Linked DNA regions of Diceros bicornis minor. The main gene of each other region encodes a partner of the protein of the gene in region 4 in a complex. Links are inferred from orthologs where the notes say so. Each region holds a gene or a part of one and is shown on either strand. Other genes may lie near its edges. The genes, in order: TIMM17A, TIMM21, TIMM17B and TIMM50.

Region 1 (7,857 bases), on a different chromosome or scaffold from region 4:
CAAAGATAAAGGAATCTGAACATCCCCATATTTACTCAGCCCCAAATCATCTAAGGTAGAAGGAATGAAACTGGCTTTAACTCCCTACTGTTAACAGCACTTCATTCATTTCACAATAAGTGTATCCATTACAAGTCAGGCACTGTGCAACAGTGAATAAACAAGTATGTCGGAAATTACATTATGACCAACAATTGATCCAGTCTCCTAGGGATCAGGGTAAGCTCTCCAGCCGTAAAATTTAAAGCTGAGACCCGAAGAATGAAGATTCAATAGGTGCAGAGGAAAACAAGTTTTTAAAATTTTTAAGAAGTCTGAAATTCTTCCCAGGTTTACTGCGTCCCAGCTAGCATTCGGAACTTGTTTGTATCAGATCCATTTAACACATTGGAATACTCTACTATCCAATAATTAGAAGTTAAATTTGTAAACCCAGCTTCCAAATGTAGCACCCTAACTTACACAATACACTGAAATCTGAGTAATCCGATCAGTAAAACAGAACCACTATTCTAGGAATCTGGCTTATAAAAAACTCTGAATAGTTAACTTCATTTTCAACCCACTATAAACAAAAGAAATTTCTTTTATCTAGTCTCGAAGGTCAAATGCCATAATGAATCCATGGGCAATCCATGCTCAAGGAAACGTGTGAACTCAGCATACTGTTGCTGCTGGAGAATCTGATATAATGAGTAATTCTGACTTTGCCAAACAGAAACACAAAACCTAGGAGTCAAAACACCATACCCTTTTCAAATATAATACAAATCAGGACTTGGTACAGAATGACTGTCTCATGTAGCACATATTCCAGTTGTCAGCAAGATGCTTTGGGGCCTTGCTACCCAGGGCTTGCTTCTACGGTCCTAAAAGCAAAATCAGCAACACCTGGGAGCTTGTTAGAAATGCAGGCTCTTGGGCCCCACCCAGGACCTACTGAATCAGAGTCTGCTGTTGAACACAATCCACGGGTGACTTGGTTTTACTTTAAGAGTTTGAGAAGCAGTGCTTTGAGATTAAAAAGGATTAGGAAAATTTCTTTAAAATTATAGAAACATTAATAGGAAGTAAAGAGGAAGGACAAAGGAGAATGAATTAGTGGCTCCCTCTGAGTGGTGGGTAACATTAAAAGATCTAGCCTAACTGATCTTATAATTAGTTGGAGCTGAAATTAATGAGCATTAAAAAAAATCAGTAAAGAACAGCAGGATTCAGATTAGAGAGCAGCCAGAGTATCCCAAGAGAGGATGTCCAAAACTAAGGCAAGATGGAAATAGCTTCTGAGCAAAGTCTAGCTAAATCAAAACGTTCCAGCAGGGAAGTGATGGGCTACATAAAAGGAAGGTTGAATCCAGACTCTAAAAGAATGCGAGTGCCAGAGAAATACAGGCAACAGAGAATCAGTAACACGGTTAAAAGTTATCGTTTATCAAGTATCAACTATGTTCTAAGTGCATTACAACGCAAATAAAACATGATTTTCAAGAAAGCTAGGTTATTTTCCTATAGAATCCCTAATCTTTTAACTTTACAAAAAAAAGAGTATGTCTGTCTCCTCACCATCTCACAGATGAACAGAAGCTCAGACACAGATTAAATAACTTGATCAAGGTCATAGAGGTGATAACTAGTAGGACCAATTTAAATACAAAACCTAGTACTCCAAAGCCCCCAAATTCCTTCCACTGTACCATAGATAGACTAAGGGTGTTTGAAAAGAAAACATACTGTAAAAAGAGTATTTAGGATAAGTCCATATGATGTATTAAATGGGGCTGGAGGTACGGAAAGCAATTAAGGAAGCTACTGTAAAAGGCATAAAGGATGCCTGACAACAGGATCTGAACAGTAGAAGTTTTGAAAGAATTCAGATGCATACTGGGGGAGGGGGGTGCGGAAGAAGGAAAAAGATGCCTGTAGTCTGAGCTTGGATGACTTGAGAAAATGCTCTTACCAAACAGGGCAGTCCAGAAGACCAAGGCAGTGGACTACAAAACTAACAGGACAACTGACTATTGCTTCAGGACATACATACTAAGAGAAAGCAAAGGGGCTACCTAATGAATTAGCAGGTAAAAACATGATTCTTAGAACATCTTTAACTCAACAAAGTTAAATAACTCGCCCTCCTGACAACCTGTGTCATTCATTAGACCACATTCAACAGCAGCTGATAACAGCAGTGTACAACGTGCGGAGTCTCACGCATCTGAGCACAACCCAGGAAGGGGGAGAAGTACCCCCTTGGGAAGAGGTAATTTTAAAGAGCCAGAAGGCGCTGAAACATAGACCCTGTATCCCGTTTGAGAGGGAAAGAAAGTCACAAAGCAGGCAGCACAGCTACTGTCGGGAAGGTAATAATAAAATGTCCTGGGCCCTTTCACGACTTGAGAACACCTTGGATCCTGCTCTTACACAATAAAACAGACGATTAACCCAAATAACAAGATTTGGTTTTTCACTTATGACCCCAGAAGCCTTAAACTCAGGCAACCTGAGACTTCTGATAGCAATCACACCGTTTTATAACTATTTTATGTGCCTGATGTATTCATGCTTCTATCCCTTGAACCTAACCAAGCGCTGAGGACAGAGCCCTCCCTCCATAGATGCTGAATGTACGAATTTCTGTTCCTAGCTTTCCGGAGGACACATGCTACTCTATTTTCCCGATAATGTTTGCCCAGCCCCCTCCCCCAGGGAGAATTCCAAGCACCGAAAAGAGGCTCCTGCCTACAGGCGCTCACCTAGGCCATTTGGGTAAATCTACGTTCCTGCGATCTAGGATGCTCGGCCCTGCGGACACATCTGACCATATAAACGACGCCTCGAGAGGGGCGCCCCTCGGAAACCCAGCTCCCCTGCTCAACCAGAACAGGGCGGGAGGCGCAGGGAGCGCCCAAGATCACTCGGCGGGCAGAGGGGACGAGCGCTGACCCCGCAGCAGGTCGCTGGGCCCCGGGTGGGGGGCAGGCCCGCGGTCCCTCCAACCCAGCCCTGGACCTCCTCAACGCCCCGCCCCCCGCAAGGTCACCAGCGCTGGTGGCGGGGCGGCCTCACGCGGCCTGGGGCGGAGAAACCTGCGGCGGAGCCGGGCCTGCCCCTCGGGGACGGACAGGGCAGCGCGGGACCGTGGGCAGGGGTGGAGCGGATAGGCCCAGGGCAGACTCACCACGGCTCCCGCGCGTACTCCTCCATCTTGGCTCCGGCGGCGCGAGGGGTGCCGGGAAAACCGGGCGACCGTGTGCTGGTCACGGCGGAAGTGATCCCGAGAGGCGGGCGTTGACATCTACGGGGATTGGCTGCTCGCTGCCTCCCGCAGCCAATGGGAGCCGGACTCCGGCGGGCAGGGGGCGGGGCCACGGGGCGGATAGGCCCCGCCCAGGTCCTCGCAGGGGATGGGTCTGGCTGTGTGAGCCGGGCGTGCGAGCCCACGGGGGCAGGGTCTGCGTTGATATACATGTGGTCGCGTTCCTCTAGGGCTCGCCCGGCTTCGTGAGGACAGTTCATGATTTGTGAAGCTCCCACATGTAGCTGCTTAGGGCAAACAGTGTCCTCCTCCTTCATAGTCGCAGGGCTTGGAATGTAGTAGATGGTCACTAAATGTTTGTGACCAGGAACCACCAGGGCTGTCTGGAGTGCCCTGCCGATTTGGGAAGAGCGAGAACACGGCCTCTCCGGGGCTCCCTCCAACGATCAGCAGAAGATGTGAGGGGTGTTTAGCCCAGAGAAGAGGAGACCAAAATGATGGGGACCCACTGGCCCATTTTAGCCTACAGTCAAGCAAACCTGTCATGTGACGGCTGTTAAAGGAGCTCTTCTCCATTGTGCACTTTTGAGATTGACTTTAAAGTATGTTTGTATTTATTTTATGGAAAAGTTAGTGTAATAAATAATAGGAAGCTGCAGGGAAGAGAGAGGTTCCCTCCAAAATCTTGGAAATAAGGTGAGCAGATAACTGAACCCTTGGTAGAACTGAAGATTGTCAGTGAAATGTATCTTGTGTGTGAGAAGAACAGTTCAAACTAGTCGTCTGATTTGGATATGTAAGCTCGAGGAGTCCTTTTTGGAATGTGTGACTGTAATTAGGAACGCTTCAATCTAATTAATTGTACAGGCTGAGGAGAGAATGTAGGAGATGGGCAACATGGAACCCAGAAAGAGAAACAAACGCAGAGCAAGAATTTGATGTTTAGTCCGCACTCCAGATCTAGTGGTATAAACATTTCAGTAACTGGAGGATTGCATTCTCATGGGGCGAGGATATTTCTTTCTGTTCTCACCAGGATTCAGAGAAATATCCCATAGCTCTAGCCACCTCCCTTTGCCCTTATTCCATATTCATTATGCAATCTTCTGGTTGTTATTGGTTTCTGAATAGATTTTCCTTTAGGAGAAAACACCCTGGCCTGTGCTCGTAATTGTCCTTGTCCACTTGGTAGTTATATTGGTTTATGCATTTGCCTCTTGTGAGCTCGGTTCTTTTGAATCAAATCGATCACTAGGAATGGTGATAATTCTGAGCTTACAAAGCTGGAGGCCAGCTCTAGGCTGTGCTCAGCCAGCTCACTTCTTTCCACAGTTCCTGTCCTAAAGGAGCTTACTGTTCCGGGAGGCACTGCTCAGGGCGCCAGCGAGCTTTCTTAGACTTCTCTCCCTCTGCTCTCTTGTGACAGCAACAGAGGACAGGGTGTAACAGGACATTTTTGGCTAGGCAAGGCCTAGGACTTAGGCCTTTGTTGGCTAGAGGAGGAAGATGTCACCCTTGCCTCAAAAATATCCATTTCCATCTTGGAAGAAAAGAGTTTGGTACTCTAATCTCTTCCTAGTGAGTCTTAAAGGAGCCTGAGGAACTGCATGGCCCTCCCTGAAGGAAGGTCAATGATATGAAGGAATGATAGAAGAAAGGCGTAGGGGTCCTTGAGGGAAAACTTAGCATAAAGGAAGGGGAGTGTGAGCTGGTAGTCCCACACACTGGGGTCTGTTTTGGTGAAAGTCAGTGTTCTGGGCCCAGTGTGAGGGGCTGCTGCTGAAACCCCTGTGAGCCAGGTCCTCTGGGGATTGCTTTGGGGAAAATAGGTCCAGTGTGAACGGAAAGAGCTGTGGCTCCCAGGGCCTGTTGTGTGATTTCCCCAGCCAAGCCGGTGAAGGCAGGAAGAGATGCCCTGGTGCCTTGGGAACCCCAGGGTGGATGAGCTCATGAGGTGCTGAGTCTGGCAGTTACTCTGGTGCCTTTTTCCCCACCCTACAGTAATTTCCCACCCTTGCCATCCCCCGCCCCACAATTAGCTTTCATTCATCTTCCACTCTTGGACAGGTAGACTAGTTCCTGTTTTCTTGGGGGAGGGGCCACTGATAGAGGCTAGGATTGGAGAAAGATGGACATCTGATAGATGTTAAGGGTGCACAGGTGATGCTGGACGGAGAGAGTAACTGGAGGGATTCAGAACCCCAAGTCCATGAGAAGACCCTTACTGTGTGCTCAGGATTGTCCTTAGTTTTAAGATTGAAGTGGAAAAAATACAAAGAATAGTTACATGGTTTCTACCCTCAGGGTCTTCAAAATGTACTTGGGGAGAAAGAATGTGATCTTGAGAAATAATTGTTGGGTCAAAATTCTAAAATGTCAACATGTGTGCCATAAGACATGATGAATACAGGAGGCGGTCAGAGAGGAGAGAACCTTGGGAGCTAGAATGTGCTCGCAAAACTTTAGTGATCAGCCGGCAGTTAAGCTGTGGCCTGAAGAATGGCGGGATGTTGGAAGGTGGAGAGGAGAGAGTAAGGCATTCATGGTAGAGGGGGCGACAGCACTGAAGGCATGAAGGCAAGGGTGACGTGGTGCTGTCACTGGATGGGTTGCTGACCCCACTGGGAGAGTAGAAAAGACTAGAAGCAGAGAGAATGAGGCTGTGTCAAGTGATGAAGTTCTAGGGCAGTGGAAGTGGAGAGTGTCAGAAGCAAGGCTGAAGGAGTAAGCTGTGTGCTAGGAGATGTCCTCCGAGACCTGTCATGTTTCTACACATCAGCGTTAGGAGCTGACGTCTTTCACATGGTGACTTCCTCTGGGGCAGCTTTATTTACATTACAGGACAGTAAAGGAGAAATGGCTCCCGTCCCTCCCTGGAGTATATTTGTTTTCCTTCCAGGATAATAAAGATATATTAAAGTCTTATCTACTTTTTTCCAGTAGCTGAGGGAGTTCATTCTAGAAGGAGACAGTCTTTTCAGTAGACAGTGAGGTCATAGGGTGAAGAGCAGGCTTTAAATAGCTTCTGTGGGGAGTGTGCAAGTGAGTGAACCACAGATGAGCACAAGAACCTGGAATCCTCCTTTCTTCCCAGACCCGACCCACGGAGGAAGGGGCTGGATGTTCTCAGAGCCTGCCCCTCCTGACACGCAGTGCTTAGCACCTTAGAGGCTAGCTTGGTTGAGCTCCACTGAGCCAGAGGCCTTGGGGGCCTAAAGAGCCCATCCATCAGGAGGTCACAGGCCACGTATGTGGCTCCTTGCCCCCTGGTGCCACCTGTTCCGGTCACCAAGAAACTCAGATGGGCATGGACAGTAAGGCTCGTTTCACAGCCAGCTCCTGGGTTTGGGGTTCCATCTGTGACTGGGCCTACTTGGTGGGCAGAAGGGTGTTGCCTGGCCAGGGTGGGAGTTGGGGGGGAGGCAATCTCTTGTCTCTTTCTCCCCTCTTTTCCCTCCCCCTGCTGTCCCTTCAGGGAGACATTAGTCTGGCCTGTGCTCTGTCTCAGAGCTCTCCTCTGCCCATTTCTGCCCATCCCAGCAGTGCGGGGCCAAGCCAGTGGCTCACTTCCAGAGCCAAGTCTGCTGCTCTGGAAAAACTTCCAGCCTCCCCAGAAGAAGAGAACCAGTGTGATTATTTATTGAGTAGTAACACATAGATCCTTACAACATGTCTGATGCTGTTATGCACTTCACATGCTCTGTCTTATTATCGTCTTCTTCTCTTATTCACTATGTTTGGTAACTCTGTAGCCCTGTGCAGTAGGTACCTTTTTCTTTAGGTAGGTGCTGGTATGATCCCCATCATCTATGTCCTAAGACTCAGAGAGGTTAAATAACTTACCCAAGGTCACACATCTCAGATTTGAGCCTATGTCATTTGACTCCAGAGCCGGTGGCCTTATCTGCTACGCCATACCACCACCCTATATTCCTAAAGATGTGACCTTCCTGGGGTCATTCAGCCAGTTGAGAACCACCCTAAGCGTTAGTGAAGTTGGTCCTGGTTCCCTATATCCCCACCTCACGTATGTTGGCTGGAGCCTGGGGTCTCTTTTCCCTCCTTACTCTGCCCATCCCTCTAACACAACATTTCTCTGGGGAATAGGCCACACCAGAATCCCGTGATACTCAGGATGAATCTGTTTCAGGTGGAAGTGGATTCTGAGCTTGGAGAACGGTTGCCCCTGCAGAGTGGGTGGGGCAGAGGTCCCGCACAGCAGGGGCTGGAGGAGGCTGTGCTCTGGGCTCTGGGTTGCCAAATCCTTCAGCCCCAGCTGTGATGCCTCTCTGGGGAAGAATTTCAGAGTCTGCGGGCAGTCCCTGGGGCTCTAGGGAGCCGAAGGCTTCAGACCGGCTCGTCACAAGAGCCAGCTGTTTGGAATTGTGGGACCTGAGTCAAAGCAGACACAGGGACTTACATGCAGAAACGTTTGGTTAGGAGACCACAAGTCCTGCCCTGTAAGTTTGGAAGCTGTGGATTTGTTTTTTGAGTGTGCTCCTAGAGCAGAGACTCCTGGACCCAGAAGAGAAGGCTGTGGGAACCAGAGATGCAGGGCTGACCCGTTGCTGAAGGGGGTCTTTACATTCAGGTCCTGACTCCTC
Region 2 (8,043 bases), on a different chromosome or scaffold from region 4:
GATTTCCAATGTATAACTGGAATCGATAGGCTCCGCAACTGCCAGCAACAACCGCTCCTTTAGTTCCTTTAAGGGTGGGTTAAAAGCTACCATAATGGGGAAATCGAATGGAAGTCTCTGAAATTGCCCCCCACTGACTCAGACAGTAAATCAAAAACAGTATCACGTTGAAGGGGGAATGGCAGAATAGCGCTATTCTTAAAGACCTAAAGACAGAGGGGTGGTGGTCCCCATCATACTCCCATGTACTACACCAGTCTGCCCCTTACAAAAACCAGACAGAAACTGGAGGATGATAGTGGTCCACTGCAAATTCCACCAAGTAGCAGCCCCACTACAGATGCAATGCCAGATATGATAACTTTACAGAGCACACTAACAAAGCCTCATGGTACTGACCATTGATCTGGAGAATGTATTCTTTTCCTTCTCTGTCGAGAGGGAGCAGCAGGAGCAGTTTGTAGTGACATAAAACTGACAATAACTGTGTATATGTAGGGTCTTGCCCAGGATTTGTTTGCCCTGACATAACATAGTTTTAATGGACCCAGACCTTCTGGATCTGAGCTGTCCAATACAGTAGCTACACACCACACATGGCTATTTGACCTTAATTTTAAAATTAACTTTAAGTGAACTTTAAATAAAAACTCAGTTCCTCAGTCACACTAGCAACATTTCTAGTGCTCAGTAGCCACAGGACCTTATAGGGACAGCACATATATAACATTTCCAACACTGCAGAAAGTTTTACTTAGACAATGCTGTTCTGGACATTCTGCAAAACATCACATTTATCACATTTGTCCACTCTATTTATGCCATCGTGTTAGTCAGAGGCAAAAGTAACAAGTGACAGGTATGTTCTATGTTGGGACACTTGGTAAGACGTATGTGCTTCAAGTGCAGGGGATGAGGCCAACAAAGATCCACGGCTTGCCAACCACATCAGCAAAACTCTTAGGGATATGCTGTATGGGGCATGCTGGGACACCCACCCCAAGTAAAAGACAAACTATTGCATCCTCTATGTCCTACCACGATGTGTGATGGGCCTCTTTGGACTCTCGGGGCAGCATATTCCACATTGGGGGATACTGTTCCCACCCCTTCACTAAGTCACCAGGAAAGCTGTCACCTTTTATGGGGTCCAGATCAGGGCAGGGCTCTGCAGCAGGCCCCAAGTGCAGTGTAAGCAGTGCTGTTGCTGGAGCAGATGACCTGACACATGCTGTCTGACACTTCTGTGCCTGCGACCTCTGCATACAGGCTGTTCATCTGTGCTGAACTTTTAATCACCCCTCACAACCCTGCTCAGAGTATTACGAATCAATGAGTATATTTTTGACATATTCAGCAGACTGCAAAACAACTGGTAGGATACAGTTAAATTTTTTTGTTAAAACCATTAAAAAAGTACATGCACTGAAATGACATAAACCAAAATATTAACAACAGTCATCTTTGTGTGGTATAATCATGGATGTCTGAGTTACTTTTTTTGCTTCCTTTTTATTTTTTCTACAAATTACTTGTAAAATGAAGAATTAATAAGTTAAATTTAAAATGACTTACCTTATCCGTAAGAACTTATCTGACTTTACCTGACAGCACTACATTTCACCTTTCCTATTTTATATGTTCCTTCTATTACTGTACATTTCATAGGAAGGTAAGTGATGTTTTGAACATCTTTATAATATAGAAACTCTAACTCAGTATCTGGACACAACAGCAGTCACTCAAGAGACGTGTTTATTGAGTTAAACTACATGAGTTAATTTCTATGGATTATGACTCAATAATCTTTCTTTCCTATTTATTCTATCCAATTACTCTTTATCTTATGCTCCCTAGTACTTTCTTTGCAGCACAATTAATCTTTTCTCACTGTTTGTTTCACTCTGTATCTACTTTCTTCTTAATTTAGTGGTAAGCTAACTGAGTATAGGATTCTTAGGCATACCCATTAACATCCCTTCCAGTGCTAAGGATAGGGAAAATGGAAGCTCAAGAAATACTCGTGAATGGCTGACCTCAAGAGCACTGGCCTGGATGTTAGAAAGCTGAGATAGGAAAATTTGCCTTTAATTTTCAGTTGTGTGAAAGTGAGGCAGTGTGCCTCCTACATAAAAGGGACAGCGCTCATGTGTCTGAAAGAGTGAATGCGAGATTCAAAGAAGACGAAATAACATCTGGGAAATCGACTTGTCTATTACAAAGTATTAAACAACGGTTAAGTTTCATATAGCTCTCTCCATACCAGAACTAATACAATTTGAGAAAAATTTTCTAGCCATAATTCAACAAAGTTATATTGAAATCAACTTTCAAATTTGAATTCTGTGAAGAAAATTGTAGGCCTATATCTCTGATTCGAAACTGTTTAACGGTTTTACCGTTTACTTTGTGTGAACTGTTTCTCCATCTTTAGCACTGAACTTGTGTAAAGGGGCACTGGCAGCTCTTGTCACGTTTGTTGAAAGACTGATCATTACTGGAGAACTCCTTTTTACCTTTCTGTGACGTTGAGATGGCGGGTTCCCCTCTCTGACTTCTGTGCACAGACACTTGTTTGCTGCTGTCCTCCTTTGCTCTCTGGGGGCTCTGTCCCTGCGTCCAGATAGTTTTCTGGGTGACTCCAAGAATACAGCTAGGTCGCACCGTTTTCGTCCGCTCTTGCAGCCCCCACCTCAAACCCGGCTCAGTCTTCAAACATGCTTTGTTAAGCACCAAGTGTGGCAACAACAATCGCTTCCCCGAGGACCTGTGCAGCTTCTCCGTAAACTGTACAGCTCGTAGAAAAGTACAAATCATGTTCACAGAAAACCGCTCCGCTCAGGGAAGATGCTAACTACGAAAAGCTTCACTGTCCGCTACACACCCGGCAGACGCGTACTCAAGTCTACACATTCACACTGGAAATTCTGCAGGGCGTGTTCGACAAATGTGAGCTCCAGCAGCGTATATTAACACGAAAAGTCTCCCGAAAGAGGCTGACGTCCACCTTCCCTTCCCCTCGGGCCTCTCTTTACTTGAATTATATTGCTCTGATTACCCTCTACGCCGACATTCACGCTCTCCCCGCCATGCCTTTGCAAAGTAACCTGGGAAACCCCTCGTAGTACTGGGAATAGCAGTTCGAGGATCTCACTCCTCACTGAGTGGCCGCAGCGGGGAAGGCATAAGGACTACATCTCCCACAGCGCACCTCGGGAGAGGTGCCGAGCCCTCGCTGGGCCTTTAGGCCTCTCCCAACCTCCCCTGCGCGGGCCCCTTGCGCATGCGCTGCCCGTACGTGGCGCGGTAGGAAGGCGGAGCCGCGTTCGTGGGGGATATGTGGCATAGGCGGTGGTAGTTCAAGAACTTGCAAAAATCAAATTAGCAACTACAAACTGCGTGTTCTTTTGACCCTCTAGAGAGGACTGTGTAAACTGGGAAATTTTCGGTCTCATTGTGGCTTTGACGTTCCTTAGTGGCAAACGAGGTAGCCTTTGCATTTCAGTTTCTTCCCCACGAAACCAGACAGGGAGTGTGAACTACCAGAGAGCCGGCAAGTGGGGAAGGAGGAGGACGCCACAATACCCACGCGGTGTCTTAAACTGCGGGCGGCCTACTTGCCGCGCGGCGTCGAACTTGGGAGGAAGCCTGCCCCCAGAAGTTTCTAGAACCGCTCTTGAAGCGGTAGAAAGCCGTGTCATCTTCGGCCCCTCACCCCGGCTCCGCTTCGCTTCTGCGCACGCGCGTCTCGGAGCGCGCCAGCGTCGATTGGGCGTGGCGCGGCCCGGCGCGCTCCTCCCTCCTGCCGTTGCGCTTCCGGGGCGTCGCCGCCAGGTCTCCATGGCGACCGGACGCGGCAGGCTCTTGCAGCTGCACTGGAGCGGCCTCCAGGCGTCGGGTCTGCAGCTCGGCGCCGTGGGCTGGGCCCCCGGACGCGCCAGGTTCGGGTGATGGTTGGGGGGTCGCGCCCAGGGATCCCCGCGAGGGACCCGTTCAGTCCGCCCTCCTCCCCCGCCCCTTTCCCTTTATTTTCGTTCGTCCCGCTCCGGCGCGGAGCGCGGCTCTCTTTAGTGCGGGAAAGGTCTCTTCAGCCTGGCACGTGGGGTTACCCCGACTCATGATACAAGGAGTGGCGTCCCCAGGAAATCCTCCTTCTCCTCCGTTGGCTCAGTGAACAGGCGCTGTGGGGCGCTGGGAACGTGCTAAGCCCCTGACCCTGGGGCGGCGCCCCCGGGCACCCGCGGGTGAATGCGCGCCACCTGTGAAGGCAGGGACGGTCACCGCTCTCCGCCTGCGGGCGCCGAGCGGGCAGCCCTCCAGAGCGCGCCCCCGAAGTTGCTTCCCTGCTCTGGGACCAGGAATCACCTTTCGTCCTTTTTGTGACTTTATTATAAGTTAGAGAAGTAGAATCAGCTCGTCAAAACCTTATCGATTTTCTCTCCCGCCCACGAAGCGTGAAGGGAGGACACACCAGCCCTAAGCTGATACCTCTAGAAGGCAGGTTGGTCTGGGAGCGTCTCCTGTGGCAGCAGTTTCTGCATCTCCGACGTCAAGGAGAAGTCTATGTGTTTAAGCAAACCCTGGAGGGATGCCTTCTAGATAGCTGCCCCTTGGTGCTCAACTCTTACTCCTGTTCTGCACATCTTCCTGTCTTAAGTGCCAGGGCGTGTGGTGATCTTGTTCTGGTGTGTAGAGACGTCTCTCCTCTGTTTCTCTTGGGGCGCCCTGGAACTGAAGGGTAGTCCTCTTCTGCAGCGAGAGAAGGCAACTTTGAGGAGTGAGATGGGGAAGGGGCCAGGAGCAGGAGGATGCAGCTGCTTTCCAAAAGGATCTTCAGCTTACCTCAAAGGGGAATGGCTCATTTCCCAAAGTGAAAGATGTAGTTCATCAGAAGGATCAACGTGCTATGGTTCCTTATTAAATCCCTCTCGTTTTCTCGTGGGTTGTTGCTAGTTCTGTACCTATGATTCCAGTTAGTTTACTAGGTGGAGGAGTAATGCTAAGGACAGTTTGCATTCTCGAGGATTTTCCTTTTGCTTATAAGTCTTCTTGGTTTATAGATAGAAAAAGTCGTGCATATTATCCCTTCTAATAAACTAAATGTTTAAGCATGAAAAAGGAGTATGTTACGTACCACTTCAACTACTTAAATTATTTTTTGTTTTCCTGAAACTCCAGAACTATGTCCGGTGTTCATCCAAGGGTCATTTACTCCACTTACTCTGGTTTCAGAAGCAGGGCCCTGACCCTTCCTGTTATGATAATGGTTGGTTCTTGAGAATAGCTGTAATGCTAGATATACCACAAGCCTTGTGACAAGTAAAATGGTGACAGTGCCTGCAAAATTTCTATTATGTAGCTGAGAAAGACTGGAATTTAAATAGGAAGCTTGAACTTTAAGTCAATTTGCCACTATTACTAAAATTAGCCTTTAGTGCTCTGTTAGTGGGAAGCAGAATGATTTTTATGATGAGTCTTTTATTACTTTATAAGTTGAGAGAACTTCCTGGTGAAATGATGTAATTAGAGTGCCTATCATTGTGTGCCTGGCATGGGAGCCTGCACGTCATCCTCTGATTTGGTGATGCATACATTCTTTTTGGTAAAGAAAAGTCAGTTGCTAAGAAAGATTGATTATGTCTAAGTAGGTGGTTATTTTTAATTCTCAATTCAGAAACACTAGATTTTAATAAGGAATCAGTGGTTCCCTTTTTAACACATAATGTGAATATGTAGAAATATCGTAAACTGTAAGAAATATAGCAGAAGGCATATCAAGTTGGCTTAATTTCTACTTGGTCTAATTTCTTTGATTTGCCAGATATTAAAAATCAGGCCCAGAGAGTAGATTTTTAAAATATTGAACTTATTCAAAGCTAAAAAGTGTGTTTAAACTGAATGTCATCTTACTAATCATGTCAGCTAAATGTACACTTAACTGTGTAGACATACAGATCTACATGAGGACATGCATGTAACTTACCTATTTGTGAATTGTGTGACCCTTAAAAACATGCAGTGTGTTTATTTTATGGAGAAATGGAGATTTGTTTTCAATTGTACCAAAAGCTATACTGATAAGATACATAATATAATAATACGGTAGAAAGAGCTTTTGAAGGAGTGTCAGGAGATGAAGGTCTCTGGGACTCTCAGTCTCTAGCTTGAGACCTTAAACAAGTCACTGTAATTGCCTCATTAGAGCCTTAGCCTTCTGATCTATGAAATGAGGCACTCATGAGATCTGTTTTCATTATGGGAAAACAAAACAACAACAAATAGGCTGCACTTCTCAAATGGATAGGTGCCAGTGGGCAGGGGATGCATGGGGCATCCTCCCCGACATGTAAAATTAATGCAATGCCTTTGGGGAAAAACGTTAAATAATTTAACTGGTAAGTAATATAATACATTTTTATAATAAGACAAACACAGATAAGTTATCCAGTGGAATGCAACATCTGCATTAATTTTTTAAGATCAAATAAGAGACTTCAAAGAAGTTTAGAGCTTTCTGTAGACTGTGCCCCAGATTTTGAGGGACCTGGTGCCCCAGAATGCTGCGAATGTCTTTGAGGACCACAGCTTGAGCCTAAAGGATTGTGCTATGAAACTGTGATTCCAAACCTTGTGTATGGGATTCTGAGTTTTGAAATTAAAACAGAAAACCCCCACAATTTATTACATATTCAATATATTAAGAAATATTAGAAAATATTTGTTCTGTCCCTTCGATCTTTTAGCCCTCATGTAAAAACAACCACCAACAAAAAAACCTTGTAACCTTGTAATCCTGTGAATCAGGTGTATTATCAGTTAATACCTTGTTGACTTGCTTCTGGACCTCTTTTCTTTGTATGTATGTGCTTACTTTTTCTCTTAAGAGAGAAATACAAAAATAAGATTATGTAGCATATACTGATATAACCTGCTTTTTCAGTTATGTTATTAATTTAGCAGCTATTTATTGAATGCTTTCTGCACACCAGGCATTTTGTGGATGCTGAAGAATCAGCAGTGACCAAAACTCACGCAAAAGACCTGCCAATATGGATCTCGTGTCCCAAAGATAGGTAAGAAGGTAGATAAGTGAAATGCGTAGTGTTGGATGGTGATATGTGCTAAGGAAAAAAAATAGGGAAGGGGCATAAAGTGTGTGTGTGTAGAGTGTGGATTGGAGTTTTAGAGTGCATAGCCAAAGAAGTTCTCAGTGAGAGGGTGACGTTTGCGTGAATACCTGAAGGAGGTAAGGGAGCAAGCCATGCAGACATCTGGAAGACATCGTGAACTTATTTCTCTCTCAGACGCTTTCGCCTGTGTTGAAACTGTCCATTTTAATTGGCTGAACATTGTTAACTGTATGGAGGCCATGCAGTTGAACCAAACTGTATACCGTTTCTAGTATCTTTTGCAGTGCAGACGCCTTTGAGTTGGATGTTCTTGAGTGAGGTCTTTGTGCTCACTTTCTTGCCTTGGGATATATTTCTAGAAGTGAAATTCCTGGCTTAAAAAAAATATGTCTCTTAAAGATCTTGATATACACTACCAGTTGGCTTTCCATACCGTTGGCACCAATTTATGCTGCTAGCTGAGTGAATGAGAAGCCTGTTGCAGCATAGCCAGCACCTGTCCTTATCGTTTATTTGGTCTTTGCCAATTTGCTAGATTGAAACTGATTGATACATCATATTAATTTACTTATCTTCAGTTCCCTTGGAAAGGCCTAGGGTAATAGTTTTTATTTTTGGGGCATCTTTTGATTGAGGAAATATGTAATGACAAAAAGCTCTTATGAGTTTACTAATGCTTTTTTAAACAAATCTATATTTGGTTAACCACAGCAGTATTCATTTAAGTTAAAAAAGCAATAGTATCTATTATTGAAAGACATTTCTCAGTTTTCAAAGTGTGTGTATGGACTCCCAGACTTCTTGTCATGAACCTTTGCAGAGGTCTAAGGGTCACTAGTTGAGAACTCTGAGTAGATATTATTATTATTTGGTGGAGGAGTAACACAAATTCCTTTTACTTAAAGCTTAAGCA
Region 3 (7,469 bases), on a different chromosome or scaffold from region 4:
GCACTTACTGCGGGCAGCCAGCACAGCCCCGGTCAATGCTCCACTGGTGATGGAGTTCCAGGGATCTTCCTTGCCCCGCAGCCGTACTAGGCCGCAGTCGATGGTGGAGAACAGGCCCCCCCACACCGCGAAGCTACCTGCAGGGGGACCAAGGCCTAATTAGTGTTCCTGGGGAATCCTGAGAATCCACGGCTCAGGGTCTGGGGACTTCCAAGGCCTGAGTGCTCTGGCAAAGAATGGGGAGCAAAACCCAGACACAAAGGCAGAGAGCAAAGGAGGTGGGGATAGTCCCCATCTGTCCCTGTGGGAGCTCCTTCTTCAAGCTGTCTATAATCGCCATCAACACTCCCTTCCCCTTCAGAGCGAGTTACAAGTGTTCAAAAGAGGTCTATCTTCTATATGGCTTTGAACAAAGCAACTCTGATCTTCACAACTACCACAAAGAGTTGAAATTCTGATCTTGGTTTCATGGAGAAGGAAGAGGTTAGGAAAGCCCGTTAACAATATGATAGCTAAAATGTTTACTGAGGCCTTATTGTGTGCCAGGGCCTGATCTAGGCACTGCATGCTATTTGACTTCTGAAATTTCAAATTAGTTAATATTATTAAAGTGCTCAGCAGAACAACCGGCACTTAGTAAGTACCATGTAAATTACATACATTACAAAACGACTGAGGTAGTTATTATCATCATCCCCGTGTTCCAGATGAGGTTCAGTGAAGTTAAGCCACTAGCCCAAGGTCACACAGCAAGGAAGAGCCAGGGCCTGGATTTAAACCCCAGAACTCACTCATATTAAATTGTTGGGAAACATCACTCCCCCAGGAAGTCCTAGGCAGAGTTGAGGCTAGAATATGGACCCCCAACTTGCAGTCTAGACCCAAAGGAGGAACCACCCCCAACTTTGCCATCACATCTCCTATGTCTCCCCAAGCCTCTCACCTCCAATCTGGGGGGCTCGGATCCTCACAGCGTTGACACTACCTCTCAATCGGTGCCGAACTCCCTGGGAGAAAGTGAGGAGGAGGGGAGTCAGGGCAGGGTTAAAGCGACTGGCAGACAAGGTTTCTAGCTTTTAACAGAGGGAAGGGGGTGGGAGACCTGTTAGGGGTATCAAGGGTAGAGACATGGAGAAGAGGCCAAGAACAAGGGGACTGGGGAGCACCTCACCATAGGTGTTCTCAGAGCTGGGTTGGGAAGCTCTCATTCATTCATTCAATGATTACTCAGCTCCTATGTGCCAGGCACCATGCTGTCCACAGGGATACAGCAGTGAATAAGGCAGACCTGGCCCCTGCCGTCTCAGAGCTCACATCATAGTGGCAGAGACAGATCTTGGGCAAGGGTACAGATAAACAATAGCTTCAGACAGCACTATGCACCCTAGAAGAAATAGAATGAAGAGGTATGGTAGTGGCTGAGGGGTCAGGAAAGACCTCTTTAAGGAGGGGGCATTTGTGCCGAGACCTTGAGGATGAGAGGGAGAAACTCAGGCAAAGATCCAGGAAAGAGAGTTCCAGGAGATGAGGGGAGGGACAGGGCTAGATGTATCAGTTGCAGAGACCCTGGCAAATGGATGGCATTTAAAGCCATGACATTTGATGAGATCTCCCAGGAGGAAGGGTATCAGAGAAAGAGACAGAATTGATTATGTTAAATTAAAAGCATTTTCTCAACTTTAAGGCTGCCCTCCTTCTGCCAATTAATCTCCTGTCACTTCCCTCTATCCAGGTTTCTGACCCAGAATCTGCCTCTAGGTAAAATCTTTGCACACACATTTAGGATTTAGCGATGACCATTTTGACAGCACAAAATTTCCACAGAGGAGCTCCAATTGGGTGCGGGGTGAGGGACAGAGGCCATGTTTGCAGTTCTCCCAAAACCCCTCATCCTGGAGCCAAGCCTGGCACATAGCAGGCGATCAGGAACCAGAATGAATAAGTGCATGTGACTGGCAGCTCCAAGCACTTTTCAGAGCAGTATCCCAAGCGGACAGGGCAGGATCCTGGCACCACCCAGGGAAGGCCAGGACTCACGACAGGGGCGTTGCGGAAGCCCTTGATGGCCTGGAAGACTCCGCCGCCGATGACACCCATAGTGAAGGCTCCACCGCAATCATCCACAATTCGCCATGGGCTGCAAGCGGGAAGGGGAGATGGGGTTAATGTGTGCCCTCCCCCATGCCATGTCACATGGACTTTCTAACTGGAAGAAACCAAGTCACCTGAAAGGGAAGTAGCACTTCAGATAATGAGATTATTTTTCCCCTCATTTAAGCAAGAAATAGTGCAAAACGGGAAAAATATTAGTCTTTGCCCAGTCCTACCCTCCCCTTCGCAGTCAACCAAGGAATCAGCTTTACTACTATCAAAGATTAAATGAATTGATACAAGCAAAGAGTTGGCACGTTTAAACAAGCGCTATAGAAGTGTTGACTAGCTAGTATTATTATTAAAGCAGTACAGGGTCACAGCCCCTTCTCCGACAACGAGCCCATCCAATCAAGCCCCGCCCTTTCCCCCTTTTTTAACCGCGCGCGAATGGGAAAAACCGAGAGCCGACCGTGGGGAGGATCCAGCACCCCCTCCTTGCCCAGAATAGGCTCATCCAGGCCCCGCCCCCATTAACTACAGCGACCTGGGAAAAACCACGCGTGGTAACCCTGGGGATTTCCGCTCAACACACCACCCCCCAGCTGGAATGGATTCGACCAGCGTGTCTTTTCGTTAACAAAGAGGGGCTGGGAGATACGTAGTCAGGGGAAACGTGGGGTGGCTCGTCCTTCACTTCCAGGTATACAGTTGGGGCCCCTCTTAACGGAGCCCGAGTGGGAGGAATCAAGTGGAGGGGAGCAAAGGAGACAGATTTTAAACGTCTCCCGAGTCTGGGATGTGGCGCTGTGTGGCCGGTGCCTCCCCCGCCCGCCTCCCACAGCTGGCCGTGGCACCACAGCAACAGTCCCGATGCCTGTGCCCATCGCCGTACCAAGGCTCCCGAGCGTACTCCTCCATGGCGCCGGCGTCCTGCCGCGCAGTCTGGCTAAACCCCGGCCGGGCCACGCCCCCACTGTAAACGCACACAGGCGCCCGAGCTGTCCAACTCTTCCAGGGCGACGATTGGGTCGCTTGGCCATACGTCAGGCCAAGGGCGCGCTCTCATTGGTCACCCCGGCTTGCGTCGTCTGTTCACCGCAGCCTGAGCGTCATCCAGTTACTCCAAGCCTCGGGGAGAGAGGACCTCGTTCTGTGCTTTGGGAGAAGAGAGTTGTGGGGTCCTGGTGATCAAGGGGCGACAAGAGAGAGGCGGCCGGTCTGACAGCCTTCCACTACCCGCGTGACTGTATTGGTAACGTCGGAGTGGGCGCATTTTTTGGAGCGGGAGGAAGTACTGCATTCTCCTCCCCCTTCTCAGCGCTTTGGTTCCTCCTACCCGGCAGTCTTTGGGGGACGTTGGGTGAACCCATTTCTGGGGCGCGGGGGAGCTGTGCTGGCCCCTTCAGCTATGGGTGGAGCCTGGGCCTGGGATAGGAACCCGGTCATGGAGCACCCGGCCTGGAGGGGAGGGTTGGTGAGAGTTTTGGTGATATTGCCATCTATCTCTTCCGCCTTCTCCCGCTTAGGTTCCGTCCACCCAGCTACTGTTGCAGGTGGGTAGGTGGGGGTCCAGATGAGTACATGCTCGGGGGAGGCGTTTGGTTACGGGCTCCAGATTTGAGTCCTCATCTGAGCTGGTTTTTAGTCTGTCCATCTGTCCCTAGGTCTGTCTGCTACCCGCTATGCCGCTACCCGTTGCGCTGCAGACCCGCTTGGCCAAGAGAGGCATCCTCAAACATCTGGAGCCCGGTGAGAGCTAAGAGCAGATGGGCCTACCATGTGCCAGGCTTGAGAGGCACTTTGTTGTTGAGACTGCCACTTGATAACTAGCATGGGCCTACTGTGCACCAGGCAGTGGGGTGGCAGGCATTTCACTGTTAAAAATGGGGATTCCTGACACCCATTCCTACCATGTGCCAGGCATGGGGGAGATAGATATTTCATCCTTAATACTGACAGCTGATGACTATTTTGGGCCTACTGTATGCCAGGTTCAATCCATCAATCAATCTATGGAAGTGGTTACAAAGTATCTAATAGTGAAGATAGCTGACATTTGCAGTCTCCTGTGCGTGCGCCAAGTACAGTGGCAGGATGCTAATACTTTGTTCTTTACCATACTCATAACATTATTTCAGACCTCCCATGGTGTCAGGCACTATGCTGGTGATACATACCTTATTGTTCACATTAATAGCTGACATGTATTTTGGGTCTACTAAGTGCCTGGCATACACATTATGGTTAACAGTATAAAATAACGATAGGATCTATCATTTAGGCCTACTGTGCTGCTGCTGCTAATATTTATACCTTGTCAATAATAGTAAAAGCTGGCATCTATTTTGAGCTATAGTATGCCGGGCACTGGAAAATACATCTTATTTTCACCGTATTGATAAGTGACATCTATTATAAGCCTACTGTGTGCCAGGCATAGATCTTGTGGTTAATAATACTGATAATGATCATTGATATTTATTTTAAGCCTATTGAGTACTAGGCCCTGTGCTGAGAGTATATATATCTTATTAAAAATACTGATGATTATAGCTGATATCTATTTTGGGCCTACTGTGTGACAGGCACTATGCTGTTGCTGACATATACAGGCATACTTCATTTTATTGTGCTTCGCAGATACTGTGTTTTTTACAAGACCCTCCACCAGCAAAAAGATTACGACTCGCTGAAGGCTGAAGAATGGTTAGCATTTTTTAGCAATAAGTACTTTTAATTAAGGTATATACATTGTTTTTTAGACATAATGCTATTGCACACTTAATAGACTACAGTATAGTGTAAACATAACTCTTAGGAGCAGTGGGAAACCAAAAAATCCGTGTGACTCACTTTATCGCAATATTCACTTTCTTGCGGTGATCTGGAACCAGACCTGCAGTCTCTCTGAGGTATGCCTGTGCATTTCATTGTTAGTTATTTCTGCAGCTGAAATCTGTGATAGGCCTACTGAAGGTCAGCTACTGGGCTGACAATATACACCCTTTTAATTTTACTGATATGAACTGACAACTGCTGCATGCTTACTATGTGTCAGGAACTGAATAGATTCAGAGCAGTGTTTGGATAAATCCCTTGGTATCCAAACTCTTGCTACTCAATATACAGGCGTCAGAAACCCCATATTTGCCAAGTTTGGGAGCTGAATAGATTTGGACATATTTTCAGATAAACCCCTTGCTGTTCAAACTCATTTGATCCAAACAGATTTGGATAGTGTGGTGTCACATACTACCTGAACTCAGGAACTGAATAAATATGGATACATTTGTTGGTGAATCCCTATCTAAACTCTGAAACCAGATAGCTTTGGGTAATAGCTTTGGGTAACATATCTTATGTGAACCCAGAAACAGAACAGATTTAAGTACAGTTTTTGGTAAATCCCGATATCCAGATAAGTGGCTTTGGAATGTGAGCAGTATCTGCCAGGGCCGGTGAGACCTGGCACACACACGTGGTCTGTGTGAATGCTAGTGTCTCTCCAGGCTCTAACTGTAGGATGAGAATCCCCCTGCTCCTCACTGCTCTCCTCCTCCCCCCGCCATGCCAGAACCAGAGGAAGAGATCATTGCCGAGGACTATGACGATGACCCTGTGGACTATGAGGCCACCCGGTTGGAGGGCCTGCCACCAAGCTGGTACAAGGTGTTCGACCCTTCCTGGTGAGCCTGGGGACCTGGCCAGGGGGGAGGGAACTGACTTCTGACTTCATCCTTCCTGTGCTGTCCCTGACCTCGGGTTAAGAGATCTGGGGGTCCTCCCCACGGGGTCCTGACATGGGCCAGGTAGAGGCGGAGACTGGGGAGACAAGAGTTGAGGCTACAAGGAGGTAACATCTGTGCTGACATTCCTTCTCTATCCCTCCCTCCCTCCCACTGCCCCACAGCGGGCTCCCTTACTACTGGAATGTGGACACAGACCTCGTGTCCTGGCTCTCCCCACATGACCCCAACTCGGTCGTTACCAAATCTGCCAAGAAGCTCAGGAGCAGTAATGCAGGTGAGTTGGCAGATCCAAGGGTGCCTCAAGGGCTTCTAGTAGTTCTCAGAGAGGGATCAGGTAAATGATAGTGAATCCAGGAGCATCAGGTGCGATAGGCAGGCCCAGCCCCAGGCAAGGGAGGTGGTCAAACACAGAGGCTGCTGGATCCTGAGATGGGAGAAGGAAGGTCACTTCAAAGCTTTCCTGTCCCCAGATGCTGAGGAGAAGTTAGACCGGAGCCATGAGAAATCAGACCGCGGTCACGAGAAGTCAGACCGGGGCCACGAGAAGTCAGACCGGGGCCACGAGAAGTCAGACCGGGGCCATGAGAAGTCTGACAGAGACCGAGAGCGTGGCTATGACAAGGTGGACAGAGAGAGAGAACGGGACAGGGATCGGGACCGGGACCGTGGGTATGACAAGGCAGACCGAGAAGAGGGCAAAGAACGGCGCCACCATCGCCGAGAGGAGCTGGCTCCCTACCCCAAGAGCAAGAAGGGTAAGCTGACAGGGCCAGGACTGCAGTGAGGCAAGTGGGGCGCCAGGGATGCACAATGTAAGGAAGCCCTCACTTCCCTTCATGCGAGTGCCTGAACCTGGGGCCTGGGAGAAGGTGCTGTGGGCCGTGGCAGCCGCGGGCTCCATTTCTTCCTGGGATGGGGAAACTCACTGATGAGAGGCTCCTTGTGCCTCCACTGAAGACCTCACTCTGCCACCTACTTCCACAGTGGCAAGCCGGAAGGATGAAGAGTTAGACCCCATGGACCCCAGCTCGTACTCAGATGCGCCCCGGTAAGTGACAACGCCTCATGAGCACTTCTCTTTGCTCGTGACTCATGGTACCAGTGACCATTCCTTTCTTCCTCACTATGTCCTTTCCCTGTTCGTCAGTGTTGTGGGGGGTGCCTACCACATCCCACATTCCCACCCCCAATCCTCTGTCACCTCCAGGGGCACGTGGTCAACAGGACTCCCCAAGCGGAACGAGGCCAAGACGGGTGCAGATACAACAGCAGCTGGGCCCCTCTTCCAGCAGCGTCCCTACCCGTCCCCAGGAGCTGTGCTCAGGGCCAATGCCGAGGCCTCCCGAACCAAGCAGCAGGACTGAACCCCATCCACACTGCCCCAGGGTTTTTAATAAAAGCTTTTCAGTGGATCATGCCCATGAGGCCTGAGTGCTTCCTTCTCTCGCACTTTCGAGGCTTCCCAACCCAAGCCGGCAAGATGCAAAACATTTTATTTGCAAAAACTCACCTAAGAAATAGTGTGGGGTTGGCAGGGACATGGGGGCAGCAGGGGCTGGAAGCCAAGGTGGGTCCTTTCCAGGCCCTCATTACCAGCGAGTTTAGTCGTGTCTGCCCTGCGTGGGG
Region 4 (7,205 bases):
TAAGTCTAGTTAAACCTCAATGAACATATACACACATATGTATACTTTAAACCAGTGGTTCTCAACTAGGAGCAATTTTGCCCCCCCCTTTTCCTGGGAAATTTGGCGATGTCTGGAGACATTTTTGATTGTCACAATATGGGCATCTAGTGGGTAGAGGGCCAGGATGCTGCTAAACATCCTACAATGCATAGGACACTCCCCAACAACAAAGAACTATCTGATCCAAAGAATCAATACGGCCAAAGTTGAAAAATCCTGCTTTAAATGAATATCCTGAATCCAGTTTAAAATAAGAATCTTACATGACTGCCTACTTCAATACAGTATTTTTAGTCCAGTTAAACTACTATCTATGGGCCTGTCTTTTCCAAACCAAAATATGGAAACCACTTAAGTTAATAAATACACACATTTTAAACCCGCATGTTTACCTGCCCAATTCAAATCAGTATACTGATTTGTTTATACCAGTATGATTCTACATCTGCCCAGTTAAAACAGCATACTTACCCACCTGCCTTGTTTAGAACAATCAATGGATTAACGTGCTGGTTTGTAAACTTCCCCAGCACAAACAGGTGGCTTTCTGGACTTACTAATTTTATTTTTCTCCTGGAAAGGGCCAGGTGTGATAGAACTGACAACTACTCTCTACTATCCAATTTGTCAGAAACTCCTCAAAAGCTGGTTACCCAGCAGGGGAAGGGAGGAAGGAGGCATTGTTTTGGACATGAGGAGCCGGATGGGGTATGGGGCTTGGCGGGGAGAAAGGAGGCTGTCATAAAGAGAAGGGGGTTAGGGACCGCAGATGCTCAGATCTAAGGCACAGGAAGCCATGTGTCTGGCAACAGAGAGCCCCGCATCCCCAAGCACTCCCACCCCGGATTCCCCTCCCCCATCTGCCCCTGACCATCTGCTCCTGGGCTGAGGGGACAGGGAAGGGGACTGGTGCTTTGTAATGCCCCTCCCCCCAAAGCCATCCAGCTGCTGACTCCCCCACCCCACAACAGGAGGAGGAGCCAGGGGTACCAGATGGGGAGGGCAACACTCCTACAAATGGCAGAGTAGGGAGGGTCGGGGACCCCAGAATCTGTGCTGTTTACTCACCATTGTCGAATTCATCGGGAATCTGGGAGGTAGAGAGAAAAATGGAGGGTTTGGGATGGCAGAGAAAGAATCCCATCACACCCAGAAAAGAAATCTCCAGAGCCTTGGGAAAAGTAGGCAAAGGTCCCTGGGAGGAAGAGGCTCACCCCAGACCAGAAATGAGCCTGCACAGACCACAGGGGAGGGGACCCACAGGATGGGACCCCTGGCAAGGCCTCTGGGTCTCTTTCCCCCTCACCTTGGCACCAGTTTCATCCACAGAGTTGTTTCCTGCAAGGGAGACAGGGATGAATGAGAGGCATTGGGGCCTGGTCTCCTGGATCTTGAGGGAGAAAAGAGGGCAGGGGGCTGGACTCCTGGGTCTGAGGAAAGAGGGCTAGAGGCATGGTCTACTAAGATCAAGAGAGGAGGGGGCTGGTAGCCAGGATCCCTGGGTCTCCTGGGTCTCTGAGGGATGAAGGGACCAGGGGGAGGGTTGCAGTTTTGGGTGCTGAAGGAAGAGTAGCTTAGGAAGCCGGTCCAGGCCTATCCTCCCCCGTCTTCCTCTCTTCCCACTGACTCCCTATAGCCTAGTGCAGGAACCACCAGAAAGAGTAGAACCTTGAACAGAGTGGGTAAAAGGGAGACCTTCCCCACTTCCAAGGTAGATGTTCTAGTTGGCTGCCCTGTTGAGGGAGCAGCCAGGGAATGAAGACGGGTGAGCCCTGAGCGGAAAGAGAAAGAGATTCTGCAGTAGAAAAAAGGGCCAACAGAACAAGACTGGGGGACAGGGATATGTCCCTCACCAAAGATATAGACGACGCTCACGGTTCCACCAGCACCGAGCAGCCCAGCAAGCCAGAGGGCAACTTTTTTGGCATAGCTGGCACCCTCCGTGCCCCGCTGCTGCTGTGGCCCCTGGGCCTGGGCCTTTGTGCTCGCACGGATCCCGATCTCTGCAGCCTGTGATTGAGAGAACGTAGGTTGGCCAAGAGAGGAGAGAGAGAAGGTCAGAGTGGTTCGGGCACCCTGGCTGAAGAACCAAGCTCAAGAGCCACGAAGTGGACACCCATATGGCCTCCAGGTGATGTGTCCCTGGAAGGGCAGCCAAGAGACTGGGTCTCTCAGAAGGGTCAAGAACTGGACTGTCCGGCGCCAGGATCCCAGTGATTCGAGCGCTGACAGGCCGGATGCCCAGGATCCTGGAGGCAAAGGATTGGAGGGCCTGGAGCCCGGAAAAGCAGGGCAGGGAGATGAGATCGGGAGACTGGCTGGACACTGGGATGCCTGGAGCAAGGCAACAGAGGCCACATAAGGGGACAGGACGAGGGGTTAAAGCCTCCGCACGCCTGGGGCTCACAGTAGCAAGATAGAGGAGAAGGGATGGGAGCGGGGGCGGAGGGGCAATCGCTTCTCTGGGGCTTGGGGAAGTACAGCAAGGAAGTGATGGCCCTGGAGGTCAGAATGGCTGGATCTCTATCAACATGGAGGCAGATCGAATCAGAACCTCGAACCTCTACTTCACCACCACTAAGGCGGGGAAACACCTCCAAAGCCAGGCTGGCACCCCAGCGTCCCGGGCCCCTCCCCTTCAAGTATTACCCGAGCGGTCACTGAGATGGAACAGGTGACCTCCTACCCAGGCGCCCACGTGGGGTCCAGAGGAGGTGAGGTCCAGAGGACGCACCTGAGCCCCCAGCATCTAGCCAGGGAGGACAAGCGTTGCCTACTCCCGGAGGCAGGAAAGCACCCCAAAACGCGGGCGGCGTTCCATTCAGCACGCTGAAGTGCTGCGTTCCAGAACCCCCGGGCAGCAGCGGCCCGCTCGAAACTCCAGAGAGGGGCCCCCGCACCCGGGGGCCACCCCGGCCCGCTCACCTGGCCCGAAGCCCGGGGAGGTGGCGTCGCCAGCCTAGCGCACAGCCCCCGCGCGCCGGGCCGGAGCCCGCTCCGCAAGCGCAGGAGCAGCGCCGCCGAGGCCGCCATCTTGCGCTGACGCCACGCGGCCCCGCCCACTCGCTCCCCTCCCCGGGGCTGCGGCCAATGGGGGCGCAGGGGCGGGCCGGGTGGACGGGAGCCCGAGAGAGACAAAGGGCTGCGGGCGGACCGCCGCGGACGCGCACGCCTCCCGGTGCCCCCGGCGCGGGAACTGAGTCAGCCGGCACCACGCCCCCTCCGACCGCCGGGCGCTCCACTGCTCCTGCTACGGGACCGGGCGGCTACCACGTGCTCAGCGGGAAAGCGGAAGCCGTAAGGAAGGATCCCAGTGGCTGCTCGATTTGTCCTCAAGAGCGAAAGCCGCGAGTCAGGTAGCTCGGCCCGCCCGAGGGGGCGGCCCGGGAGGCGGGCTGAAAGGCAGCCTCACCCCCCTCTCCTCACGTGGGGCCGAGTCTGTCAGTACCCGGGCCTCCCGCAAGTTTCCTATAAAGGGTCTGGGAAGCCAAGCTCTTCATGGGGCCAAAGGAACCGCCGCCGCGCCTGGCGGGGTTGGGTCATGGAGAGAGGGGTCCATGAGTTAGAGGTTACGGGAGCCATGACGATGACCCTCAAACTATTTTGAGAAGGAAAAGTCTGATACTATTTATGTAAACTTTAAAAACATGTATACCGACCATAGAACACTTGAGGATAAATACTAACGTAGTAAAAGTACAAAGTTGGGCAAGAGACACGGGAATTCAGGGTTGTGGTGACCCCGCGGGGAGTGGACTGGGGGAGCTGCGGAGGCGGGTCCTGTCTGGTCCATACCGTTTCCTAAGCTGGGCGGTGGGACACGGGTGTTCTGGTATATCTTTCTGAGCATCTGAAATATTTTATAGCACATTTTACATTACCTTTGTAAAAAGACATGTAAATATCAAAAGAGGAAGGTGAAGGAGGATCAGGGGGTAGGCTGCTCCCAGCCCCCATGCCATCAGACCAGCTACAGCAATTCTGGTGTCACTGCTGTGTGGCCTCAAGAGGAAGGATCATCAAAGGCTGTATCCTGCTCCATAGGAGGAACTTAGGCTCCCTGGGGGACACTGACTGTGATTTTCACCTCACTAACTCAAGCCTGAGGAAGATGTAACTTCATCGATCACATGCAGGCTCTGGCAGCCTCTGTTCTAATCTTTCTCGAGTCTTCTCATGCATTCCTCTCAAGAGCCCTCTGGGGGAGGCACTATCATTTTCTAGCGGGGAAACTGAGGCTTAGGTAGGACCCAGTTATTTGCCCAAGACCACAAAGCAAGGGAGTGGGGTCTGCAAATGACCTCACTTACAAACTGGACCACACACACACAGGACTTTTGACCAAACAGCTTTTTATTGAAAGACTATAACACAAAAGCAAGCTGGGGAAGGGGGGGTACAAGGTGGGGACCCTTCCCCAGACTCTACTCTCATCCCCATGAACATCAGGGAGGGAGACAGGAACCCAGAAAGGAAAATAAAAGAAATCCTGAACAATCAGGCTAGCCCTACGCCAGGCCCCAGATGCTGAGTCAGAGCCAAAGGCCAGGGAAGGAAGGAGGGACACTCTCCATCTGTCAGATGTCTGCCCAAGTCCACGTGACCTGCCTGCCTCAGGCCTCCAGGAGCTTCCCCAGGAAGCGGAGGTTGAGGATCTTGAGCTGCTCGTCAAGGTCCATGCGGACGATGCCATCCTCGCCATCGATGCTCAGCAGGACACCTGTGGCTTCCCGGTCCTCGCCCAGGATCACCTTCACCTGGTGGGGGGCACGGGGTCAGGGTCCACATCAGCAGCCCAGTGCCCCCACACCCCCTGCCTCCCCTTACCTTGTTGTTCTTGGTGGGGGTGATGGGCTCCAGGTGCTCACTGGAGATGCTCACCACCTTCTCGCTGTCCTTCAGGTACACGGAGCACATGCCTCCCTGGGAGTGAGGACAACCTGGTGAGCCTGGCCTGCTCCCCACACAGGACTCATGTCCAAACTCAGGGGACACGGGCTCAGGGCTCATCCGGAGAAGTCACCTTCCCAAGGTGACACAGGGGCGGGAAAGGCAAGGCTAGGCCTGGTTCCAAGGCCTGGAGTCAGTGGTGTGTGGGGGCGGGATGACCAGATAAGCAAAGAAAGCACCCGAATGAAGCAATTTAGGCCAAAAGGGAGACTGCTTCTCAGGCACTGGGCTCTGTGTCCCAAACTGGCCTCAGCTCCTTCCCCACACTTGCTCTTTCTCCTGGGCCTCCGTCTCAGGGGTGGCCCCACGGTCCCCAGGCCCCAGCCAGAGCTCTGGACCTTGTCTTGGTCAACTCCTTCACCGACAAACTCCAGCTCCAAGGCCTGTCCATTCAGCCTTGTGAGGGTCTCTCCTACCTCCCCCCTCTTCTCTTCCCCATGGCCCTGTATGCAGCCTGACTTCCCCCTGGGCTCCCAGCCCCCAGTCTCAGCACCCATAATCCATCCTTGATAGGGCAACATAATGAATGAATCCCAAACCATAGATCTGATCCACTACTCCCCTGCTTAGATTCCTCTATGACCCCCAGTCCCTTCAGGACACGGTCCGAGTTCCCCAGGCTGGCATGTGACCTGGCCCGGCCACTTCTTTGGCCTCAGCACTCACCTTCCTCCTGGCTCTTTATGTTCTAGCCACAATGAACATACTTCACTCCCTAAATGTCCCAGGCTTTCCCTCACCTCCAGGCCTTTGCACAACTCCTCTTTCTGAAACACACTTAAGCCCTTCCCCAGCCATTTCTCTTGGCTTACTCCTAATTCATTCTTCGGGTCTCGGCACAGATGTCTCCTTCTCCAGGAAGCCCTCCCTGCTCCCCTCCAAAGTTGGGTAAGGTGCCTCCTCTAGGTTCACAGAGCTCCCCTTGCCCTCTGGGCTTCCCGCATCCCAGCTCTGGCCACTCGGGCTGTCGCTGTCTTGCAACATGTCTGTCTCTCCCACTGGAATGTGAGATCTGTGAGGGCAGGGCCTAGAGCTGTCTTGGTTTCTGGTGGTTGTTTAATTAATTTAATTAATATTTACCAGAGGACCAACAAGGTGCTAGTCCCTCATCTAGGAACTGGGGCTACTTCGAAATGAAATATAGGCCTGGCAATCAAAGAATCACACCAGGGTAAACATTAAGCTTTTAGGCTGCAGGTAGATAACAAGAAAAAGCATCACACAGACCCATAAGAGACAGACCTGAGAGAGCCTAGGTGCTTCCCTGGATTAGGAGGAGTGAAGTAGACAAAGAATGGAAGCAAGAGATCTCTAGACACAGGAAAGTGACGAGCAAAGGCCCTGCGGCTGGAGGGAACTCAGTGACGATGAAGACTGGAGAAGCCAGCAGTGCTGGAGCAGGGAGAGCCCAGGGTGGGTGCCGGTGCTAAGCTGTAGCCCGGCACAGGGGAGCACCCAGTTCATGTTTCTGATCTCAGAGGTGTATGTCCAAAAGGAACCACGCTCCTGGGTGCTGGTCACTGCTCCAAGCTGCTGGGGCTGCAGCCGTGAGCACAACAGGCAGGAATCCCACCTTGTGGAGCCTGCATGCCCAACCTTTCCAGGTTTTCCAGCTGTAAACGGGTACTGGAAGATGTGGTGAGACAGTTAGAAGAAAAAAACCCAGCAAGCACAGATTGGGGGCCCCAAAAGAGAGGACGCCCGACCACCCACCAGGCCGGGCCCCGCTTACCGTGACACTGCGGATGACGCCTGTCTGCCCCACCACCTGCGTGTCCAGGTAGGTGTCCCGCACCTTCACCTGGATGTCAGTGGTTACCCAGTCGCTGGAGTTCTGCTCAATGCCTGAGCCGGGTGTGTGCGGGTTGTAGCCCCCAGGGGAGGGGGCCCCGGGTGTCATCGGACTGTAGCCAACAGGGCTCGGGCTGGGGCTGGCCTGTAGGGGCAAGGGGGAAGGTGTCATTGGGAATAGGTCATCTGGCCTGGTTCTTCTTCTAGGCCCACAGCCCAGCCTACCCCACCACCCTCGGGGGCATGCAGGCTGACCAGTACCTGATAGGCCATAGGCGAGGGCGTGGGGTGGTAGCTGGCTGGAGAGTGGGTGTTCTGGTAGCCCGCTGGGCTTGGCGCCACCTGGTGGTAGCTCTGGGGGCTGGGGCTGGGCTGGTAGGAGCCTTGGGGGGAGGGGGCGGCATAGGGGGAGAACTGGTCTG

The links.
Region 1: TIMM50 (region 4) and TIMM17A share a complex: the UniProt entries of both Homo sapiens proteins name them as parts of the TIM23 complex. The link is inferred for Diceros bicornis minor from reciprocal best matches to the Homo sapiens genes TIMM50 and TIMM17A.
Region 2: TIMM50 (region 4) and TIMM21 share a complex: the UniProt entries of both Homo sapiens proteins name them as parts of the TIM23 complex. The link is inferred for Diceros bicornis minor from reciprocal best matches to the Homo sapiens genes TIMM50 and TIMM21.
Region 3: TIMM50 (region 4) and TIMM17B share a complex: the UniProt entries of both Homo sapiens proteins name them as parts of the TIM23 complex. The link is inferred for Diceros bicornis minor from reciprocal best matches to the Homo sapiens genes TIMM50 and TIMM17B.

Annotation. Positions count from the first base shown.
Region 1 is NC_080777.1:30,122,959-30,130,815, reverse strand, and holds the start of TIMM17A (mitochondrial import inner membrane translocase subunit Tim17-A), read right to left. Parts: upstream 3,255-7,857; 5' UTR 3,202-3,254; coding exon 3,176-3,201; intron 1-3,175. UniProt on the Homo sapiens protein: Essential component of the TIM23 complex, a complex that mediates the translocation of transit peptide-containing proteins across the mitochondrial inner membrane.
Region 2 is NC_080755.1:62,882,530-62,890,572, reverse strand, and holds the start of TIMM21 (mitochondrial import inner membrane translocase subunit Tim21), read right to left. Parts: upstream 3,128-8,043; 5' UTR 2,818-3,127; coding exon 2,517-2,817; intron 1-2,516. Other genes in the region: FBXO15 (F-box only protein 15), read left to right, coding at 3,841-3,941, 6,990-7,073. UniProt on the Homo sapiens protein: Participates in the translocation of transit peptide-containing proteins across the mitochondrial inner membrane.
Region 3 is NC_080781.1:42,158,141-42,165,609, forward strand, and holds the start of TIMM17B (mitochondrial import inner membrane translocase subunit Tim17-B), read right to left. Parts: upstream 3,080-7,469; 5' UTR 3,013-3,079; coding exon 2,987-3,012; intron 2,138-2,986; coding exon 2,038-2,137; intron 1,008-2,037; coding exon 944-1,007; intron 138-943; coding exon 9-137; intron 1-8. Other genes in the region: PQBP1 (polyglutamine-binding protein 1), read left to right, coding at 3,777-3,843, 5,669-5,780, 6,005-6,117, 6,314-6,598, 6,828-6,891, 7,051-7,207. UniProt on the Homo sapiens protein: Essential component of the TIM23 complex, a complex that mediates the translocation of transit peptide-containing proteins across the mitochondrial inner membrane.
Region 4 is NC_080773.1:13,471,284-13,478,488, reverse strand, and holds the start of TIMM50 (mitochondrial import inner membrane translocase subunit TIM50), read right to left. Parts: upstream 3,108-7,205; 5' UTR 3,076-3,107; coding exon 2,968-3,075; intron 2,807-2,967; exon of another isoform or gene 2,792-2,806; coding exon of another isoform or gene 2,777-2,791; intron 2,053-2,776; coding exon 1,896-2,052; intron 1,381-1,895; coding exon 1,349-1,380; intron 1,133-1,348; coding exon 1,111-1,132; intron 1-1,110. Other genes in the region: SUPT5H (transcription elongation factor SPT5), read right to left, coding at 4,656-4,799, 4,870-4,965, 6,725-6,928, 7,045-7,205. UniProt on the Homo sapiens protein: Essential component of the TIM23 complex, a complex that mediates the translocation of transit peptide-containing proteins across the mitochondrial inner membrane. Has some phosphatase activity in vitro; however such activity may not be relevant in vivo.